Linked DNA regions of Saccharomyces cerevisiae S288C. Changing the gene in region 1 together with any one later gene gives a genetic interaction. Each region holds a gene or a part of one and is shown in the gene's direction. Other genes may lie near its edges.

What was found.
Region 2: mutations in ALG9 (region 1) and NNK1 together harm fitness more than expected from each alone (negative genetic interaction), as found in Saccharomyces cerevisiae (3 studies listed by BioGRID).
Region 3: mutations in ALG9 (region 1) and SDH9 together harm fitness more than expected from each alone (negative genetic interaction), as found in Saccharomyces cerevisiae (2 studies listed by BioGRID).

What each region holds. Positions count from the first base shown.
Region 1 is NC_001146.8:235,496-241,204, reverse strand, and holds ALG9 (dolichyl-P-Man:Man(6)GlcNAc(2)-PP-dolichol alpha-1,2-mannosyltransferase), read left to right. Parts: upstream 1-3,541; coding exon 3,542-5,209; downstream 5,210-5,709. Other genes in the region: PPN2 (putative serine/threonine-protein phosphatase), read right to left, coding at 1-874; ssDNA-dependent ATPase MGS1, read right to left, coding at 1,204-2,967; ADE12 (adenylosuccinate synthase), read right to left, coding at 5,491-5,709. UniProt on the Saccharomyces cerevisiae protein: Mannosyltransferase that operates in the biosynthetic pathway of dolichol-linked oligosaccharides, the glycan precursors employed in protein asparagine (N)-glycosylation.
Region 2 is NC_001143.9:123,596-132,695, forward strand, and holds NNK1 (protein kinase NNK1), read left to right. Parts: upstream 1-3,879; coding exon 3,880-6,666; downstream 6,667-9,100. Other genes in the region: U5 snRNP GTPase SNU114, read left to right, coding at 1-1,948; EBP2 (Ebp2p), read left to right, coding at 2,164-3,447; mitochondrial 54S ribosomal protein uL14m MRPL38, read left to right, coding at 7,039-7,455; putative serine/threonine protein kinase KKQ8, read right to left, coding at 7,693-9,100. UniProt on the Saccharomyces cerevisiae protein: Serine/threonine-protein kinase involved in the phosphorylation of the NAD(+)-dependent glutamate dehydrogenase GDH2.
Region 3 is NC_001142.9:351,856-360,362, forward strand, and holds SDH9 (succinate dehydrogenase SDH9), read left to right. Parts: upstream 1-4,168; coding exon 4,169-6,073; downstream 6,074-8,507. Other genes in the region: cullin RTT101, read right to left, coding at 1-253; AIM22 (putative lipoate--protein ligase), read left to right, coding at 531-1,760; GTPase-activating protein GYP6, read right to left, coding at 6,445-7,821; YJL043W (uncharacterized protein), read left to right, coding at 8,275-8,507. UniProt on the Saccharomyces cerevisiae protein: Probable minor catalytic subunit of succinate dehydrogenase (SDH) that is involved in complex II of the mitochondrial electron transport chain and is responsible for transferring electrons from succinate to ubiquinone (coenzyme Q).

The sequences.
Region 1 (5,709 bases):
AACCTTTGGTCTGTCTCCGTAGGTTTAGTCCCATGGATGCATCGTGCCCGTAAAATACTTTGGCGTTACTAAAGTGGTCTCCGTATTTGTCCCACAGTGTGTACCATCTCACATAATTCTTGTTTTCCTTTTCACGTGATGTTTTTGACCAGTTCTTCTTATCAACGTACTTCATGTTTGACAGAGAGCTCACGCCCGGAATTTGGTTGGGCTTCATGAAGTCTCCCGGAACCATCCCTGCATGTGCACCAAAGAGTATATCACCGGTAATATCCAGATCTAGTTCTATGGCCATAGAACAATGTTCCGCTAGCTGACTTAATTTGGAAAACCCAAGTTCGCGAGCTAACCGTCCATGTGCGTTGCTGATTTTAGAGATGTCTTGTGGTATGAAATTAGTCTCCGTACTGAAAGTTAAAGGTGTCATTAATTTGGGGCGTCTTACCCATTTCGAGAAGTCTGGGTTTAAATAGGCCATCATGACCAATATTTCATGATTGCCCAAAACGCACTTGACTTGATCCTTGTGATTTAGAATATACGACACGACCTTGTCTGAGTCCGGGCCCTTGTGAATAAAGTCACCCAGCAATATCATTGTTATATTTTCTCCTAGTCCTCCAATCTTGTCATCAATGAGTTCTATGAACTCATCATAGTTACCATGAACGTCACCAACAAAAACGTACTCCTTATTTAAATCTGTTACATGCTCAATTTTCTTCAAGGTGCTAATTGTAGGCAATAAGGAAACTGGTGGAGACAACCGAGGGTTATCAAACTTGAATATATATAGTGTATAAACGCAGCATGCCACAAATAATATCAATGCTGTACTAAGTGTAGCGGCTCGTCTTTTCCGCTTATCTTCCATTTTTGCGTATCTATGCTCCTCAAGCCTGGCTCATTTTACAAGCTGGAAGGTCGAGGAAAAGGAAGAACTAATTCAAGAATAATGTGCTCTTCTTATAGGATGCGTATATGTTCTAATATATCTCAGATGGGCCCGCGAGACTTTTCTAGCATGAAAAAAAAAGGTGGATCCTTGATTATCTAAAATTATAGTTTATATCGTTCATGCTGCACAAAAACGTGCCAGCAATGCAATGCGCCTCAAGCGTAAAAAAACAAGCGGCATTGGCCAACAGAGAAAAAAATATGAATTGTAGACGCGGCATTGAGAGAAGTATGGAAGACCCTTGACTAACCCTGATATGACTGTCTCAAGTCAGGATCTTCTTTGTCTCCTAAATGTTTGCCGTCCAGGAACTTTAAGTCAGTTTTATTTGGACATTTCTCGAGCACTTCTTTGGGAAAGTAGTCTTGTTGGACTTTTCCTTCAATATAATCGGGATTGTACTTGTAGCCTTTATGATAACCCAGCTCCTCCATCAATTTGGTTGGCGCATTTCTGATATGCATCGGTATCTCACTGCTTGCTAAACTGTACATGTTCTCGCTCATCATTGCCCTTAATTTCTTCCAAGCTCTATATAGTTCTACTGACTTTGGTGCCCTAGCCAAAGCAACACAACATTGCGCCAGTGCAAGGTCTGCCTCTGGCAAACCAACTTTCATTACTGCGTCATGTGCCGCGACAGCCAAGGGCAATAATGAACTATCCCGTAATCCGATATCTTCAGAAGCTATTCGAATCATTCTTCGGGCAACATACAATGGGTCCTCTCCTCCCTGCAACATTCTTGCTAAATAGTACAGTGAGGCGTTTTCGTCCCCACCTCTAATGGATTTATGAAACGCAGAGATTGTATCATAATGGTTATCTCCCTTTGGGTCATAGTATGTATTCAACCCGTTGCTGCTGTTGTTCTTAATTATGTCTCGTACATCATCGATAGATAATTCTTCCTCGTCGGCCTTGCGCTCTCTTGTTGAAACTTCGATCATTTCCAACATATTTAACGCCCTCCTTGTATCACCCACCGACAGATCTACCACGTACTCCAGTATGCTTCTAGACAATTTCAAAGGATTTTCAATATTCCATACTTGTTTCCTGCATTTATTCAATAATGCAATTCCTCTTGATAAAACAATACACAGTTCGTTGACATTCAGCTTTTCTAGGACAAAAATCAGACATCTGCTAATGAGAGCATTGTTCAGCTGAAAACTTGGATTTTCTGTCGTTGCACCAATCAAAATAATGTCACCGTTTTCTACGTGTGGCAATAACAAATCCTGTTGAACTTTATTGAATCTGTGAATTTCATCAATAAAAAGTACAGTTCTTCTTTTGGTCAATTGATATTCCTTTTTTGATTTTTCAAATATACCTCTCAATTCTTGCGTATTTGCCTTTGTCGCACTTGTTTCGATCATGAAGTACCTGGAACCAACATTTGATTCATTACTACTGGTTGTCGCAGTTTTCGTTAATAGTCTAGCTAGTGAAGTCTTTCCTACACCTGGAGGGCCCCAGAGTATCATAGATGGTATAGTCCCTTGTTTTATGTATTTGAACAATGTACCATTATCTTGAGAGAGAATGTGCTGCTGACCTACATAATCTCTTAATTCTTTTGGCCTCAATTTTTCACTAAGTGGCAAATGGCTTATTTTCTGCAACCATCTGCTTTCGTAATCGTTGTGAAGTTGATCTCTGCTCGAAGCAGGCTCCACTATTGATTTCGCAAAATCCGTGGATGGTGCTGCCTTAAATCTTTTGCTTTCATTTTCAACAATCTCAATATCATCACTCTCGCTCTTAAGACCTGGCTTAATTTCATGGTCCTTATTTTCAAGATCAATGAATTTCTCTGAGTTAGCTTGTTTCCTCTTTTTTGGGCCTGCCAAAAGACTTGACACCGTTTGTGGCCTACTCGAAGGCTTTGACTTTTCCTTGCCACATATGTCAAGATGAGAGTTGATTAAGGAAAAAAAGACTTTTCTAGAGCAAATTGGGCATGATATGAGCTGTTCTACAGATGTCCTCTTGTTACTCATTGAGACTGTGCGATCCTGTTTCAGATCTTACCGCTAGCGTTCTTCTGCTAATAAGCTATTTTTTACCTGTCGATGACCTACCTTAAAACACGTTTCGTTTAAGACAACGCGTACAGTTTCACAAGGAAAGCAACCGATGATTGAATGTCAATTAAAAAACAAAAAACAGATGTTAATTTTAACTGGGCTCTCAATATCAAACCGTTATAGTATATGATGTATCTAAACGACCACTTATCACTTGGATATGTTGTCAAATCCGTTTTGCTCTTGCGCATGTTATACCTACTTTTTACTATCTACGGCGGGCATCCTGACCCGGCTTATTTACTTGAAAATGCAACAATAAGTCCGTTACGCAATATTGAATTTTGATGAGAACCGTTCTGCGATATTCAGAACTGTCAATACAAGCTTGAAAAAGGGACAACTGGATATACAGGGGTGTTTTTGACACAATAGAGAATACTTTTTCGTTTTTATTGTACCATTACGGCTACTCAACGAGATTTCAAAACTTTAGCTGTATCGAATTGGCTCTTTTTTCACCCTGAAGCACAATTATAAGGGAACGATGAATTGCAAGGCGGTAACCATTAGTTTATTACTGTTGTTATTTTTAACAAGAGTATATATTCAGCCGACATTCTCGTTAATTTCAGATTGCGATGAAACTTTTAATTATTGGGAACCATTAAATTTATTGGTACGTGGATTTGGTAAACAAACCTGGGAATATTCACCCGAGTATTCTATTAGATCATGGGCTTTCTTATTACCTTTTTACTGTATTCTTTATCCAGTAAACAAATTTACTGACCTAGAAAGTCATTGGAACTTTTTCATCACAAGAGCATGCTTAGGCTTTTTTAGTTTTATCATGGAATTTAAACTACATCGTGAAATTGCAGGCAGCTTGGCATTGCAAATCGCAAATATTTGGATTATTTTCCAATTGTTTAATCCGGGCTGGTTCCATGCATCTGTGGAATTATTGCCTTCTGCCGTTGCCATGTTGTTGTATGTAGGTGCCACCAGACACTCTCTACGCTATCTGTCCACTGGGTCTACTTCTAACTTTACGAAAAGTTTAGCGTACAATTTCCTGGCTAGTATACTAGGCTGGCCATTTGTTTTAATTTTAAGCTTGCCATTATGTTTACATTACCTTTTCAACCATAGAATTATTTCTACCATCAGAACCGCATTCGACTGCTGTTTGATATTTTCATTGACTGCATTTGCTGTGATTGTCACTGACAGTATATTTTACGGGAAGCTTGCTCCTGTATCATGGAACATCTTATTTTACAATGTCATTAATGCAAGTGAGGAATCTGGCCCAAATATTTTCGGGGTTGAGCCATGGTACTACTATCCACTAAATTTGTTACTGAATTTCCCACTGCCTGTGCTAGTTTTAGCTATTTTGGGAATTTTCCATTTGAGATTATGGCCATTATGGGCATCATTATTCACATGGATTGCCGTTTTCACTCAACAACCTCACAAAGAGGAAAGATTTCTCTATCCAATTTACGGGTTAATAACTTTGAGTGCAAGTATCGCCTTTTACAAAGTGTTGAATCTATTCAATAGAAAGCCGATTCTTAAAAAAGGTATAAAGTTGTCAGTTTTATTAATTGTTGCAGGCCAGGCAATGTCACGGATAGTGGCTTTGGTGAACAATTACACAGCTCCTATAGCCGTCTACGAGCAATTTTCTTCACTAAATCAAGGTGGTGTGAAGGCACCGGTAGTGAATGTATGTACGGGACGTGAATGGTATCACTTCCCAAGTTCTTTCCTGCTGCCAGATAATCATAGGCTAAAATTTGTTAAATCTGGATTTGATGGTCTTCTTCCAGGTGATTTTCCAGAGAGTGGTTCTATTTTCAAAAAGATTAGAACTTTACCTAAGGGAATGAATAACAAGAATATATATGATACCGGTAAAGAGTGGCCGATCACTAGATGTGATTATTTTATTGACATCGTCGCCCCAATAAATTTAACAAAAGACGTTTTCAACCCTCTACATCTGATGGATAACTGGAATAAGCTGGCATGTGCTGCATTCATCGACGGTGAAAATTCTAAGATTTTGGGTAGAGCATTTTACGTACCGGAGCCAATCAACCGAATCATGCAAATAGTTTTACCAAAACAATGGAATCAAGTGTACGGTGTTCGTTACATTGATTACTGTTTGTTTGAAAAACCAACTGAGACTACTAATTGATATACAGGTTCTCTAAAACAAGCAGCAAAAAAAAAAAAAGCCTGCTTACTACTTGTTTTGAGCGTTTTTTCTTATCAATAGTTTTAACATTTTTCCACGTAAATATATATATATCTATATGTTTTTATGCATTTTATAAAAAAAATATGTTTGTTCATTACTCTTTCATTTTTTCATTGAAAACTTTTAAAAAATGTCATGATTAGTTACATTTCGTATATATAAAACTATAAAACTGTGAAAAGAAATTAAATTGAAGTTTGTCATGGATGTCCAACGCCCTATTTAATTTCTTTATGCAACATGCTTTCTCTTGCGGGGCCGGTACCAACCCATTCAACAGGAACGCCAACAAAATCTTCAATATATTTTAAGTACTTCTTTGCGTTTTCCGGCAAATCTTCATACTTTGTAATTTTGGTAATATCTTGATCCCAACCTGGCAAAACTTTGTATTCAACTTCAACTTTACCAAGAATATTCAAGTCTTCAGGGAACAA
Region 2 (9,100 bases), on another chromosome or scaffold:
GACAAAACCATTTGAAAATGTAGAGAAGTACCCGACTTTCGTTGAATTTATCCTCATCCCGCTTTATAAAATATTTTCCTACGCTTTATCTATGGAGAAAGATAAATTAAAGAATTTGTTAAGGTCTAACTTTAGAGTTAATTTAAGTCAAGAGGCCCTCCAGTACGATCCGCAACCTTTTTTAAAACACGTTCTACAGTTAATATTTAGGCAACAAACCGGTCTTGTAGATGCGATAACCAGATGTTATCAACCATTTGAATTATTCGACAATAAGACAGCTCATCTTTCAATTCCAGGAAAATCTACACCAGAAGGCACTCTTTGGGCTCATGTACTGAAAACTGTGGATTACGGTGGAGCAGAGTGGTCCCTTGTACGGATATACTCTGGACTTTTGAAGAGAGGGGATACAGTACGTATACTTGATACATCACAATCTGAATCTCGCCAAAAAAGACAGTTGCATGATATCTCAAAGACGGAAACCTCCAACGAAGATGAAGATGAAGATGACGAAACGCCTTCATGTGAGGTCGAAGAAATTGGCTTATTAGGTGGCAGATATGTCTATCCGGTTCATGAAGCACACAAAGGACAGATAGTATTAATAAAAGGTATTTCAAGTGCATATATTAAATCCGCGACGTTGTACTCTGTAAAGAGTAAGGAGGACATGAAACAGCTAAAATTTTTCAAACCTTTAGATTATATTACCGAGGCAGTTTTCAAAATTGTTCTTCAACCTTTACTGCCAAGGGAATTACCCAAGTTATTGGATGCCCTGAACAAAATTTCGAAATACTACCCAGGCGTTATTATTAAAGTTGAGGAATCTGGAGAACATGTAATACTAGGAAATGGAGAGCTGTATATGGACTGTTTGTTGTATGATCTAAGAGCGAGTTATGCAAAGATAGAAATTAAAATATCTGATCCTTTAACTGTTTTTTCTGAAAGTTGCTCAAATGAATCGTTCGCTTCAATACCTGTAAGTAATTCGATATCTCGCCTTGGTGAGGAAAATTTACCAGGTCTGTCGATTAGTGTAGCCGCTGAACCAATGGACTCTAAAATGATTCAGGATTTGAGCAGGAACACATTGGGAAAGGGTCAAAACTGCTTGGATATTGACGGAATAATGGACAACCCAAGGAAACTATCCAAAATATTGAGAACCGAGTATGGGTGGGATTCGTTGGCATCAAGAAACGTTTGGTCTTTTTATAATGGCAACGTGTTGATTAATGACACTTTGCCAGATGAAATCAGTCCTGAATTATTATCCAAATATAAGGAACAAATAATACAAGGATTTTACTGGGCTGTAAAAGAGGGGCCTTTGGCAGAAGAACCAATTTATGGTGTACAGTATAAATTGTTATCGATCTCAGTACCTTCCGACGTAAACATTGACGTTATGAAAAGTCAAATTATTCCGCTAATGAAAAAAGCCTGTTACGTTGGCTTACTGACAGCAATCCCAATTTTATTGGAACCCATCTATGAAGTTGACATCACGGTCCACGCCCCCTTGCTGCCAATAGTAGAGGAACTTATGAAGAAGAGACGTGGAAGCAGGATATACAAAACAATAAAAGTGGCAGGGACACCATTGTTGGAGGTTCGTGGACAAGTTCCGGTTATTGAATCTGCAGGATTCGAGACAGATTTGAGATTATCTACGAATGGTCTTGGTATGTGTCAGCTGTACTTTTGGCACAAGATATGGAGGAAGGTTCCTGGTGATGTTTTGGATAAAGATGCGTTTATTCCAAAATTGAAACCCGCACCTATCAACAGTTTAAGTCGTGATTTCGTGATGAAAACAAGAAGGCGGAAGGGTATTTCTACAGGTGGATTTATGTCAAATGATGGTCCTACGCTTGAAAAGTATATAAGCGCTGAATTATACGCTCAATTAAGAGAAAATGGCTTAGTACCGTGAAAATCTTGGCGCATAAGAATTAAGCAATATGTCCACAATATTTTTATTCAGCAGAATTTACATATGACTTCGTATTTAGTGATATAACTACTCATCGGGACTGAAAATTTTTTATTTCTGCCTAAATACAGATGAGATGAGCTTTATAGAATTTTACGCTGTTAAAAAGTTAAACGGTAACAAAGCACAGTTAGTTGAACAACGGTATATAGAGAATGGCTAAAGGTTTCAAGTTGAAGGAGTTGCTTTCGCATCAAAAGGAAATTGAAAAAGCTGAAAAGCTTGAAAATGACCTAAAGAAAAAGAAATCCCAAGAATTGAAGAAAGAAGAACCAACTATCGTTACAGCTTCTAATTTGAAAAAGCTTGAGAAGAAAGAAAAGAAGGCCGATGTTAAGAAGGAAGTTGCTGCAGATACTGAAGAATATCAAAGCCAAGCCCTTTCTAAAAAAGAGAAAAGAAAGTTGAAAAAAGAATTGAAAAAAATGCAAGAACAGGACGCTACCGAAGCTCAAAAGCATATGTCTGGCGATGAAGATGAATCTGGCGACGATAGAGAGGAAGAAGAAGAAGAAGAAGAAGAAGAAGAAGGAAGACTGGATCTTGAGAAATTGGCCAAAAGTGACTCTGAGTCTGAAGATGATTCTGAGTCTGAAAATGATTCTGAAGAGGATGAGGATGTCGTTGCTAAAGAAGAAAGCGAGGAAAAGGAAGAGCAAGAAGAAGAACAAGACGTTCCATTGTCAGACGTGGAATTTGATTCTGATGCAGATGTCGTTCCACATCATAAACTAACCGTCAACAACACAAAAGCGATGAAACATGCCTTAGAAAGGGTACAATTGCCATGGAAAAAACATTCATTCCAAGAGCACCAAAGCGTTACATCAGAAACTAATACGGATGAACATATTAAGGACATATACGATGATACTGAAAGGGAATTAGCATTTTACAAGCAATCACTGGACGCTGTTTTAGTAGCACGTGACGAATTGAAACGACTAAAAGTACCCTTCAAAAGACCATTGGATTATTTTGCTGAAATGGTGAAAAGTGATGAACATATGGACAAGATTAAGGGTAAGTTGATTGAAGAAGCCAGTGACAAGAAGGCACGTGAAGAAGCTAGAAGACAAAGGCAATTGAAGAAATTTGGTAAGCAAGTCCAAAACGCTACCTTACAGAAACGTCAATTGGAGAAAAGAGAAACACTGGAAAAGATCAAATCTTTGAAGAACAAAAGAAAGCACAACGAGATCGATCACTCCGAGTTCAACGTCGGTGTAGAGGAAGAAGTTGAAGGAAAAAGGTTCGATAGAGGCAGGCCTAACGGAAAGAGAGCCGCAAAAAACGCTAAGTATGGCCAAGGAGGCATGAAGAGATTCAAGAGGAAGAATGATGCTACCTCTTCTGCTGATGTCAGCGGCTTTTCTTCCAGAAAAATGAAGGGGAAGACCAATAGACCAGGAAAGAGTAGACGTGCCAGAAGATTCTAAGCCGTTATGTCGGCAAGAACACTGTATATATCCAGAACGTAAAGTATATACAACTATCTATCATCTCTTTGTACACTAGTATAAAATAGAATTAAATCCAACGAAGCCCTAAAAGGCTTTTGTAACCCTGCCAAGATGACGGGAAAATAAAGGGAAAGACCTTATGTTTTTGCCCAAAAACCCTAGCGCCGGCGCTAATATTAATGGCCGGAATGAAAAGGTCCCGGAACTTTGTGTATGGCGTTGCGCTCTTCCTGTGAGTGGGGGGAAACAGATTAGATAATTGAATTCAATAACAACAGTCAATGGGGGACGGAGGGTCTTATGTTCCCTTTGGGTCATCGGGGACGCAAGTAAGAAGATACGCAATCAGCAAGCGCTGTTATTACTCTAACGAAGAAATCTTTTCAGCAAAACGGTCCAAAAGAACGAATGTTTACGTCGCAGCGACAGCTTCGACAAAATGGGAGTCCGATGTCATCATCACGTTCATCACAACATTCCTCTGGTACAGCGTCGCCGATATCAGACTCTCCAGCATCGAATCGCAGCTATGGAAGAGATCTACGAGGCTTAATGGGAATTGATATACCTGCTAACGAACCAGCTTTTAACAGGGCCAATAGCAGTGATACAATCTATTTCAGGCCTAAGAAGATTTACAAAATGGAACATGAGCACCCATCACGATCTACTTTAGTACAACTGCAGACAAGATCGCAGCCGGACGATGTCGCAAGTAGTCAAGTAAACCCTGAAGGCGGAACCGACGATCTAGAGCTGGGCGATCCGTGTGGCAATCAATCTTTATACACTATAGGGGCGGAGTACGTTCCAGATTTAGACTTTACAAAGCTAGTGAATGAGTGGCAAAAGTCCACCGAGGATTTGTATGAGTTCAGAAGCAGTGCCACTCCGCAGGTACAAATCAAAGACAGTGGAAAGGGAAACTACGAACTTTGGAGCTCACCGGATGCAATATTGACTCAAAACAAACTTCGAAGAGATAGTTTTTCGCAAGAGAACAGTGATTCGTTAAGTCCAGAAGATTCTATTTTATCAAGAAATTTGCATTCTAAGGTCAAACCCATCCCTCTGCCCAGAAACAGCCAGCAAATATTTACACCCCTGTCCAACTTAGAAGCGGAAAGGAGATCCTCATATACAACTAGTAGCAACAACAATAGCATAACACAGAATAATAAATTCTCTTTTGCGAAGTTAAAGTATTCACTTCCAACTCAAAGTTCTGCAGTTCCTGCGTCGTTCGATTCAAATGCTTCGTCACTAAATTTTCTTCCGACTACTACATTATCGACCTTATCAGAGCTACAAATAAGCCCCAACGATATGATGGATTTGATTCAGAAGCTTCCCAGAAATTTTTTGAACTTGCCGTATACTCAAAGGAAAAAGGTGATTATCGAGCATGCACCATCTCATGACTACAAGGCCATGATGTCCCTAGTTAAGAAGTTTATGTTAACATCTTCTAGAAGTAACTTTTCTCTCGCTGGGTTTGCCAATAATGCTTCAGTTTCGCAGGCCACGGCTAATGATGATAACATCAATAGTAGGAACACGCCCAATAATAGCAATGACACCTACGTAAATACGCGTCCACTTCAAAGATCTAGGCACGGTTCCATTGCATCCCAATTTTTAAGTTCTTTTTCACCTTCGATGACGTCAATAGCTAAAATGAATTCGAACCCATTGAGTGGAAGCGCAGGTGGCAGTGCGAGACCAGACGATAAGGGTATGGAAATACTAGGTCATCGGTTGGGTAAAATCATAGGTTTCGGCGCATGGGGGATCATACGGGAATGCTTTGATATTGAAACTGGTGTTGGTAGAGTGATAAAAATTGTGAAGTTCAAAGGACACCAAAATATCAAGAAACATGTGCTGAGAGAAGTAGCCATATGGAGGACTTTGAAGCATAACAGAATACTCCCCCTTTTAGATTGGAAGCTTGATGACAACTATGCAATGTATTGTTTAACGGAAAGAATTAACGATGGTACCTTATACGACTTGGTAATATCTTGGGACGAATTCAAACGTTCGAAGATACCATTTGCAGAGAGATGCAGATTGACCATTTTTTTAAGCTTACAACTATTATCTGCATTAAAGTACATGCATTCCAAAACGATTGTTCATGGTGACATCAAATTAGAAAACTGTCTGTTACAAAAAGAAGGTAAAAAATCGGATTGGAAGGTTTTCCTATGCGATTTTGGAATGAGTTGCCACTTCGATGAGAAGCATGTTTATCGTAACGATACTTTTGATGAAAACTTGAGTAGTGGCAACAGCCATAGAAAGAGAAAAAGTATTGAACAAACTAATTTGATAAAGTATCCCACAACCAATTTTTTACCTGACGACCGAACTAATGATTTTGACGCTAGTGAAAACTTAAAATACCAATTTGAAAATCGAAAGCATCAACCGTTTACACCAAAAGGAATGGTTAGCTCCAGTTCACATTCATTAAAGCATCTCAATCAACCATCCTCTTCTTCTTCTTCTAATCTATTTCACAAGCCAGCCTCTCAACCTCAACCACAGCATCGGAGTCCCTTTCATGGGAGGCACAAGACAACCGATTTTTCAAACCTGGAACCCGAACCTTCTAAATATATCGGATCTCTGCCTTACGCTTCGCCAGAACTTCTAAGATACTCAGATGCAAGACGTTCAAAATCAGTTGAAATGCATATTTATGATTCACCAGACTCCTCTCAATCGGAAATTAGCGCAGCATCATCATCTTCCTCTAATTTATCTTCTCTATCATCCTCTACAAAGGCGTCCGCAGTCACGAATTCCGGTGTAACTACAAGTTCACCGTCTGGTTCATCGACTGATTTTCCATGTATTGTTTCTCCTTTAGGACCAGCATCCGATATTTGGGCCTTGGGAGTAATGCTATATACAATGTTAGTAGGAAAATTACCCTTTAATCATGAGTTCGAACCTAGGTTACGCTCTCTGATTAAAGTAGGCGAATTTGACCGATTTTCTTTAGCTCAGGTCTGTAAATTTGACAGGAAAAAAAATGAAGGAACGATTGGTCAAGGCTTGTATGACACAGTCATTGGATGTTTGACGATTGACTTGGATAAGAGGTGGAAATTGAAAAGGATTGAAGAAGTCCTTCAAAACGAAATGAACCTAAGCGAGGCCATTCACGATAATAATGGCTCATGACTTATGATTAATGATATTGATTGCATTGAAAAAATACATACATTGTGCTTACTTTTTTTTCTCCCATTTTATAAATTATAACGAACTTCATAATTACTATTACGAAATATGTAAATAAGTATTTTTATCGCATATTTGATGCCTCTATCACTTATTTGGCGCTATTCATTGCGACTCGTGCAACGTGCGAAAACTCAGAATATTTTTTTGAACAGCCTTAAATCATGTTGCTAAATGACGGATGGAAGAAAAGGGACCTATAGAAGAGTTCGGATAAATTGTGAAGCGTGGATATTGGCATAGCGGATTTGTAGAACGGTGTGTCGTCAACCCTTTGAGATCTGGATAAGCCATATTTTCTAACATCACAACATGATATTTCTAAAATCTGTCATCAAGGTAATCGACAATTCAGGTGCACAATTAGCAGAATGTATTAAAGTAATAAGGAAAGGGTCCCCCAAGAGTCCTGCAATGGTTGGAGACAGAATAGTCTGTGTTATACAGAAAGCAAAGCCCTTGACTCAAAACATTACGGGGACAGCCAACACCAACCGTGTCAAAAAAGGTGATATTTGTCACGCAATTGTCGTAAGGTCTAAACAGCGTAACATGTGCAGAAAGGATGGCTCCACCGTTGCATTCGGAGATACTGCTTGCGTTTTGATTAATAAAAATACCGGTGAACCTCTGGGGACAAGAATTATGGCTAATGATGGTTGTGTAGATAGAACACTGAAAGACAAGGGATACAATAAGATATGCTCTTTGGCAAGTAGGGTCATATAAGAATAAAAGTACCCCCATTTTCCATTCATTAACGTTATAATCAAGGGACTGTAAACCAGCAAAAGAGCTTTGTCGTCATTATTTAATTAACCACCTGTATATATTGCTTAAATTTTAATGTATGACTTTAACTTTGAAAACGCATGAACGTGCTGCTGACGTTCTACTCATTGGAGTTGTATTCTTTTTCTTGTCTTATTCTATAATTGCATGCCGTGAATATTGTATACAAGATATTTATGTGGAATCATATATTAGGCAGCAATTCGTACTTTTCATCCACTGCATATCTAAAAGTTTGCCAACAGAAATCCTTTTTCTTGGTTCCCATTGAAAGATGCGATATAATGCGATTTTTCTATTTGTGGCCAACTCTGAGTTTACGTGCTTTAATTCTTCGAATACCCTAAACTGGTTTTTACGCTGCATTTCCTTGTAAAATTCATCATAAGACATATCTTTTTCTCTCGAAGCTACTTTCCAAAGATAATGCCCCAATATCATTGTTATATAAACAACGCCACAACTCCAACAGTCAATCAGTCTTGGATCGTAATACTCCCCATCAACAAACTCTTCTGGAGCTACGTAAGGCTCTGATCCAATTATACCCTTTTGAGCATGAACCCTCCTTTCCCAAGCGGTTTGAAATACAGAACTTGTACCGAAGTCACATATTTTCAATAGACCATGCGGATAAAAGAGAATATTTTCAGGTTTTAAATCACAATGAGCGATACCATGATCATGCATGAACTTAACACCATGAAGCAGTTGCTTCATGAAACAATCGGCTTCTAACGGATGTAATCGGCCCTTTAATTTCGACTTACCGACCAGCATACCATAAAGGTCACCAGCAGGGCAAAATTCCATTACTTCAATAAACGAAGAACTGTCTTCTAGAATATCAAATACGTTTAGAATATTGGGGGCTGGTTTTTTACCATTTTTGTGGTAGTGGCTCAAGGAATGCCCAATAATAAACTCAGAGGTGATCTTTGTACAGAACTTCTCTAAATCACTGTCTGGTTTGGGTTTCAATTCTTTCACAGCATAGTATATGTATTTGCTATCATGATATGTTTCAAATGGGGGGGAGTCCTTTTCATTCCGTAGTCTGGCACACAGCTTAACTTCACCGTAAGCTCCAGCGCCAACGAGACCAACAGGATGGCCATAATTATCTTGAAAAGTAGGTGCTTGCTCGCCGATACACTCAGCCGGTTTTAGATTTTTTTCTTGCAAATAATTTTGTAAACTTTTATGAATTCTGCTTGATAATGAATTAATCAACTTCAACTCATCACTGCCCAATGATGCGTCGGGATTCACTATTTTTAGATAATCTTCCCTTCCTTGCGTGGGCGAGCTGCGGTTGCTATCGTTAGGACTTTGACCGGTTCTTTTCTCATGGTTTGTCTGAGATTTTTCTACGTTTGGCAGAAGAGATAAAGCGTTTTCAATATCGCATTCATTTTTATGATGTTTGAATAGACCAGAAAGAGTAATACCTAATCTTGGTCTAGATAATGATCCCTGTCGATGTGCCGGTAAGGAGTTACCTTTCTCTAATTTCGCAATTACCCCTGATAACTTTATATTATGTTCATGACTTCCGTCTTCGTAAACTTTGAAGCCATTT
Region 3 (8,507 bases), on another chromosome or scaffold:
ACATCTTAGGCATTAGCTTTCTAAATTTAGCGGCCTTTTCTTTATTACACTCCAATTCTTTCACGTCAGTTTCAGTTATAGTTTCAGCTAAAGTAAGGTGAAAAAACTCGTGCAGCTCAGCAATCATCGTTCGATACCTGGGATTTCGCTCATCGTTAAATTTATTGTATAGTCCTAAAGCGTTGCTTGCACTCGTCTCTCTGCTTATAGACTCGTGGAATCCTTCTCTCTTGGAAACGCTCTCATTTATCATTGTTCCTGTGAACCCGTACGAGAATTTATACCAGTAAAAAAGATTGGTGGGTTTAATATCTTGAGGATTCCTTCAAAGTAGTCTTTTAGTGCAAAGATATCGATGATCTTCATTCGCATTGTTCATATTCATCATTACGCAAAGGATAGCTATGCGTTCCGCTTCGTCATACTTAATCAGGAATATTGAACATCCAAAAATCTCCGAGCTCACGTATGTAGAATTTTTGATGAATACAAAAGAAGAAAACACTAGACTTTTCTTTGATGTTTACATTATGTCTATGATGCTAAGTAATTGGGCACTCTCCCCTCGATATGTGGGACAGCGAAACCTCATACATTGCACCACTTTATTTCACACACTTACACGATGGGCAAAAGACGCAGACGATAAATATCATGATATAAACTCAATGTATGAAAACATGTTTACACCTTCAAATGATAACGTTTCAATTTTGCAGGATGAAGGTAAATCTGATTATGATACGACGAAGGCCAGCTCTATGGAAGAAGATATCAGTGCTTTTAATAAAGACTTGTACAATTTCTATAATATTGGATATGCCAAACAGATCATGTCTGCTTCACAATTGGAAAATATAGTAAAGGCAAAGGGCAGATTTGTTATACAAAGTTTATCCACCAGTCCTTATTATAATTTGGCCCTTGAAAACTATGTTTTCAAGAATACACCAAGAGCCAAAAGAGGTCCCGATAATTGCAGACTGTTATTTTACATCAATGATAGGTGCGCCGTTATAGGCAAAAACCAAAATCTGTGGCAGGAAGTAGATCTTGCTAAGCTGAAGAGTAAGAATTTCGAACTACTTAGAAGATTTTCTGGAGGTGGCACTGTACTGCATGATTTGGGCAATGTTAATTATTCATATTTAACATCAAGGGAGAAATTCGAAACAAAGTTTTTCAACAAAATGATAATTAAGTGGTTAAATTCATTGAATCCCGAACTAAGACTAGATTTGAATGAGAGAGGAGATATTATTCAGGACGGGTTTAAAATTAGTGGCAGTGCTTATAAAATTGCCGGTGGCAAAGCATACCATCATGCAACGATGTTGCTTAATGCGGATTTAGAACAGTTTAGCGGCTTATTAGAACCCTCACTACCGAACAATATGGAATGGGAGTCAAGTGGAGTTCATAGTGTAAAATCAAAAATCAAAAATGTTGGTATAATTACTCCTAATCAGTTCATTGCAGTGGTATCCGAGCGTTTTCAGAAAACATTCAAAGTTGACGGCGAAATACCTATATATTACTGTGACGAGTTTAAATCTATAAACGATGAGATTAAAGATGCTATGAACACCTTACAGAGCGAACAATGGAAATATTTCTCGGGGCCTAAATTTTCAGTGAAGATTAAAGATAAAGGCTTAACAATTAAAGTCGAAAAGGGCATGATTTATGATTGTGATAGAAATGATTTAATCGGCTTGGAATTCAAAGGATTTTTGGAGAATATTGACAGTTACACATAACGTTGATGAATATTTCAATTCACTTGTAAATAACGTAGGTAAATATCAAAATTAAAGTCTTTCACCGGAAACTGATTCAGCATATTTCAGCAGACGCGTCCTAGATTCACAGCAAACTTCAATATAAGCGATACATTAGGAGTGTTCGTACTTTAGATCTATAAGAACTATATTTTGTTACGATTCAGCCGTCTCTAAATGTGAACTAAATATTTATACTGTTATTTGAGAAACCGACAGATAGTACTTAATTTTATCGATCATCTAAGAATAGCATCGGTATTGTGGTGACATTTATTGAATTTCTTCCGCTCCAGAATAAAGTTCCTTTTCACTTCAAAAAACTGCCACCAGTAAAGTTGCACCAGTGGTTTTTGAGCATTTTTTGTCAATGTCGCTTAACCGTTCTTGAACTGTATCCTCTTGACGTCGATAAAATCATTTGTAAAAACCAGGCCAAATCATCATTGAATAATTTACACTGTGTCTTCAATGTCGCCATTTGGACCAATAATTATCAAACTGTTCACAATTCACTCAAAGTCCTTTCAGCAACATTCTTATGAAACAATACTTTCTTTGAATTTGTATGATGAAACAAAATTTTTTGGTTATTAATCATTTATCACTCTCGGTAGCCAAGTTGGTTTAAGGCGCAAGACTGTAATTTACCACTACGAAATCTTGAGATCGGGCGTTCGACTCGCCCCCGGGAGATTTTTTTAATGTGCTCTAAATAGAATGTGGATGAAATTTCTCTTGGCCGCCGTACCCTTCTTCATAATTAATAATTTCTTTCCATTTTGCAGGATTATATCTGATCAATAAGTGATTGTAAAGATTTTGTTTGTGAGAAATATGTGAATTTTTAATTTTGGTTATAACTTAATAATTGTTGGAATTCCATTTTTGATAAAGATGAAAATTGGTGAATTTTGAGATAATTGTTGGGATTCCATTGTTGATAAAGGCTATAATATTAGGTATACAGAATATACTAGAAGTTCTCCTCGAGGATCTAGGAATCCTCATAATGGAACCTATATTTCTATATACTAATATTCCGTTTTATTCCTTATTCCGTTTTATATGTTTCATTATCCTATTACATTATCAATCCTTGCACTTCAGCTTCCTCTAACTTCGATGACAGCTTCTCATAACTTATGCCATCATCTTAGCACCATATATGATAATATATTGGTAGTATGACTACTAGTTGATAGACTGAAGAGAATGTGGATTTTGATGTAATTGTTGGGATTCCATTTTTAATAAGGCAATAATATTAGGTATGTAGATATACTAGAAGTTCTCCTCGAGGATTTAGGAATCCATAAAAGGGAATCTGCAATTCTATACAATTCTATAAATATTATTATCATCATTTTATATGTTAATATTCATTGATCCTATTACATTATCAATCCTTGCGTTTCAGCTTCCACTAATTTAGATGACTATTTCTCATCATTTGCGTCATCTTCTAACACCGTATATGATAATATACTAGCAACGTAAATACTAGTTAGTAGATGATAGTTGATTTTTATTCCAACATAGACGATAGTTGATTTTTATTCCAACAGTGTTGACATATAAATACTAGTCAACTAAATGGTAATTGGTTATTATTCCTCAACATTCTGCTACCAAACGCAAATGTAGTAGGAGAGTTTAGATTTTCAACGTTGGTTTGCGAGATTGGTGAAATCAAAGCATAGTTTACCTTTAATCCCAATCTTCCAACAAACAGTAGCTCGCGTGGCGTAATGGCAACGCGTCTGACTTCTAATCAGAAGATTATGGGTTCGACCCCCATCGTGAGTGCTTTGTTTCTTCCGTGATAGTTTAATGGTCAGAATGGGCGCTTGTCGCGTGCCAGATCGGGGTTCAATTCCCCGTCGCGGAGATTTTTTTTGAAGCTGTTGTAGTTACTACTTTAAGATCCAGATTGATACAGTACGTATGTGAGGCAACAGATACTTGCAATATAACAAGTTTTGTGAAGAGATAGTGTGAATACCTATGGTTCCACGCAAGAAATCATCTATTTGAATTTTCGGCTTCTATAAGAATGACAAAACTCATAGGAAGCTGCAATGCATTAATTTTCCGTAAGCTTTATTAACCCGTTAGCCGCTCAAGTCGCTTTTCTCAGGTCGCGCTCCTCTTCTCCGGACTTATGTGGCTCCCTTTAGAATATAAGGGTCTTCCCTTTAACGGAACAGTAAGGTTCCACAAGGTGGCAAAAAAGGCAATCCAACCGACACTTCGGCAAATTTCTTTCACTCTAGTCAGAGCTAAGTTCTTATATATACTTTCTAAATAATTATCTGCTAAAATAAGAAAAGAAGGAGCCTAAATACGTATATCTATATACATGTATACACGTGAGCTAATAAATTATGTTATCTTTGAAAAAAGGAATAACAAAATCATACATCTTGCAAAGAACTTTCACTTCTTCCTCTGTTGTTCGTCAAATTGGGGAAGTGAAATCTGAATCGAAACCGCCGGCCAAATATCATATTATCGACCATGAATATGATTGTGTGGTGGTAGGCGCTGGCGGTGCAGGTTTAAGAGCAGCTTTCGGTTTGGCTGAAGCTGGATACAAGACTGCTTGTTTATCCAAGTTGTTTCCAACAAGGTCACATACTGTGGCTGCTCAGGGTGGAATTAATGCTGCGCTGGGAAATATGCATCCAGATGATTGGAAATCGCACATGTACGACACTGTCAAGGGTTCTGACTGGCTCGGAGACCAAGATGCAATCCATTACATGACAAGAGAAGCACCTAAGTCTGTCATTGAACTAGAACATTACGGTATGCCCTTTTCGAGGACTGAAGATGGAAGGATTTACCAGAGAGCATTTGGGGGACAATCCAAAGATTTTGGTAAAGGTGGACAGGCCTATAGGACTTGTGCGGTGGCAGATAGAACAGGTCACGCAATGCTTCATACATTGTATGGACAAGCGCTGAAAAATAATACACACTTCTTTATTGAATACTTTGCAATGGATTTGTTGACCCATAATGGCGAGGTTGTGGGTGTCATTGCCTATAATCAGGAGGACGGTACAATTCACAGATTCAGAGCACATAAGACCGTCATCGCGACAGGCGGATACGGTAGAGCTTACTTCTCTTGCACTTCTGCTCACACTTGTACAGGTGACGGTAATGCTATGGTTTCTCGCGCTGGATTTCCACTAGAGGATTTAGAATTTGTTCAATTTCATCCGTCAGGAATTTATGGGTCTGGCTGCCTAATCACTGAAGGTGCCCGTGGTGAGGGTGGATTTTTATTGAATTCTGAAGGAGAAAGGTTTATGGAACGCTATGCTCCTACTGCCAAGGACTTGGCAAGCAGGGATGTTGTTTCCAGAGCAATCACCATGGAAATCAGGGCTGGCAGAGGTGTCGGGAAAAACAAGGATCATATCCTTTTACAATTAAGCCATCTACCACCTGAGGTACTAAAGGAAAGGCTACCGGGAATATCTGAAACAGCTGCTGTCTTTGCGGGTGTCGATGTCACCCAGGAGCCAATTCCTGTCTTGCCAACTGTCCATTATAATATGGGAGGCATTCCCACAAAATGGACTGGTGAAGCATTGACCATTGACGAGGAAACTGGAGAGGATAAGGTCATCCCAGGATTGATGGCGTGTGGTGAAGCTGCTTGCGTATCGGTTCATGGAGCGAACAGATTAGGCGCTAACTCACTACTGGATTTAGTCGTTTTCGGTCGCGCCGTTGCAAATACCATTGCTGACACATTACAGCCTGGCTTGCCTCATAAGCCATTGGCTTCAAACATCGGGCACGAGTCAATTGCTAATTTGGATAAAGTAAGAAATGCTCGCGGCTCACTGAAAACCTCTCAAATCAGGTTGAACATGCAAAGGACAATGCAAAAAGATGTTTCTGTTTTCAGGACGCAAGACACTCTAGATGAAGGTGTTAGAAATATTACTGAAGTGGACAAGACATTTGAGGATGTGCACGTTTCTGATAAGTCAATGATCTGGAATTCTGATCTCGTAGAAACTCTGGAATTGCAAAATTTACTTACTTGTGCCACACAAACGGCTGTTTCTGCTTCCAAAAGAAAGGAGTCTCGTGGTGCTCATGCGAGAGAGGACTATGCAAAAAGAGATGATGTGAATTGGAGAAAGCACACATTATCATGGCAAAAGGGGACATCAACACCTGTAAAAATCAAGTACAGGAATGTAATCGCACATACTTTAGATGAGAATGAATGCGCCCCAGTCCCTCCAGCTGTCAGATCCTATTAATTCTTATTTATTTATTTATTTATTTTGGAGGGCAAACTTATTTATTGATCTGGCAAAAATGATCTTTCCCTTTTTTCTTATTTTTCTCTCTATCTCTCTCATTGATTCTTGGTCAATAGTACTCGTTTACTGTCAACTTACACCTTATCTATTATGCTATATAATTTTATGCAAGACATTGAAGTACAATATACGTCGAGCTGCAATATGCAAAAATATCAGAGGGAAACCAGCTCATTAGGAAATATGACATGTGGGCTATCTGTTTGTTGGTGGTAGCTGGGTTTTTTTTTTTTTTTTTTTGATTTTGTCGTGCGGGTGTGCAGGCTGGGATTTCAAACAAATAACAACGAGTAATTGACAAGAAAAACTTATTGGCTTATTTTCTTTTTGTTCTTCAAAATTGTTTGCCTTACCCTCTCCCTCAGTTTGTTTTCGAGTGATTGTCTATTAGGATCAATAGTCAACTTTGCTGTTTCCATACTTAAAACATCACTAGTCTTTATGCCGAACTTCGCATTTATAAAAGTGTCGCAAATCAATCTCATATCGTCGTAATTTTTTCCATACCACAATTCACATAAATTTCCAGTGACCTTACACAGGTCTAAAAACTTTTCATCATCTTTACTGGCATCTTCCTTTTCAAAAATTTTCTTGAAATGCAAAATCAATTCAACAAATTCATCGTTATTATTCGTATGTTCATAGTCACCTTGGCTCACTAGTTCGTGAAGCTCATCGTAAATGGATAACAAAAGGGTGATGATAGTGCATGCAATGAAAATATCCAAGGGATAATTGAACGTCAGGACGTGGTCCCAAACGATTAGCACATATTTTAAGGGTAATTCTCTTAAAAATAACAACCTTGTCCATCGGATGAGCCAGATTAGGTTGGAGTGAATCAGATGGTCTACGTTTTTTTTCTTCCCGCTGCCCGTTTTTGGTGGTTGGTAAAAAACCTTTGAAAACAAGTCTGGCAAACAAATCCTAAAGATTTTCGTGAATACTCTCTTATCCCAGTTAATCAAATTTTCTTCGTTATAAAAAATCGGTTCGATTTGGTTCATTAGCTTGTTAAAGATAATCAGAACGTTTTGCAAATCGGTATTATCGAGATCTGTACCGTGATATAATTGCAGATAAATGACGCTTAATATTTCGTGGAACCCTTGTTTATACTGTAGGTGTTCGCTTTGATGTATAAGCAGGTAATTGTACAAAAGTTGTCTCATTTGAGCATGAACCTTGGGTTCCTGAAATATATCGTCAAGCATTATCCTTGAGAGGTCCAAATCTATAATTTCCAGAGTTTCCCTCAGTGTCAACGGCTTTTCATCACTTCCCTTGGACAAAGAACCTTTAGTTTTGTCATTGTCATCAGACAAGGGATGTTTTTCAACAGCCTCGACGGGAGTCAGCCTCCTGATTCCCACTGAGGAGGAAACGTTCGAGTGCAAGACCCTTTTAGGTACATTTGCATTATGATTTTCGTCATAGTTGTCGCCATCTGCCAGCATAGGCACTGGCACCAAGCCGAACTGGTTAAGGTCCAAACCTTTAAAGTTATCAGTTAACAAGCAGTTGTTGTTTTCATCACACAGAAGCAAAGCTTTCCAGAGCCAGCCTCTACTATTTTCTTTAAAGATAGAGTCATGGTAGAGTTCACCTTTCCAAATTCCCTTCTGCACCAGTTGGTCTCTTGTCTCGTAGTGGTCAATCGCCCATTGTAAGACATCCTTCATGGTTGCATAAGCGAAAAAATACAAACGCACGACAGCTAACCCTCTCTATGTATGCCAATTCTCTTGACAACTCTCCCCCATTGTTCTGAAAAAGGTAATGAAATTAAACGCTGCTGTACCGATTATGGAAAACTCAATGGAAAAATTGAAAAAAAAAAAAAAAGGAACTAGTAATGCCGTAGGAGAAGCGGGTAACATAATATCCGGTTTTCCTTTACGACCGCTTACAGGCCTAAACCAGCGCACCATCCAGTTACAATAACACTTGGAGCATGCGTACACGTGTGCGTATTCTACGGCTGGCATGGGCAAAATAAGACGTGGAATTTTTCTGTGGTCAGAACTTTGCGTCAGTAAATAATTCAAGAAAAAATAATAATTATGTCGAAAAAAAAATAGAAAAAAAAGAAAAAAAGAATACTAAAAGGTGAGTGTTCAGGAAAACCGCAAGCCATGTTTGTTGATTATTCCGGACTGGAGCGTTACACGGATATAAATGCATCTTTTGGTAAGTTGGTCAACACTTACTGCTGTTTTCAGCGCTGTGAAGCCATCAGCGAACAATTGGAGATTCTGAAAAGTCTAGTACCAAAGTGCCACGACATTGTGGCACTTACTGACGAAGACTTTGCTAGTGGCCGTACTGCCGGACTGACGCAGAAATTGTTTGCTATGGCGATGACCCT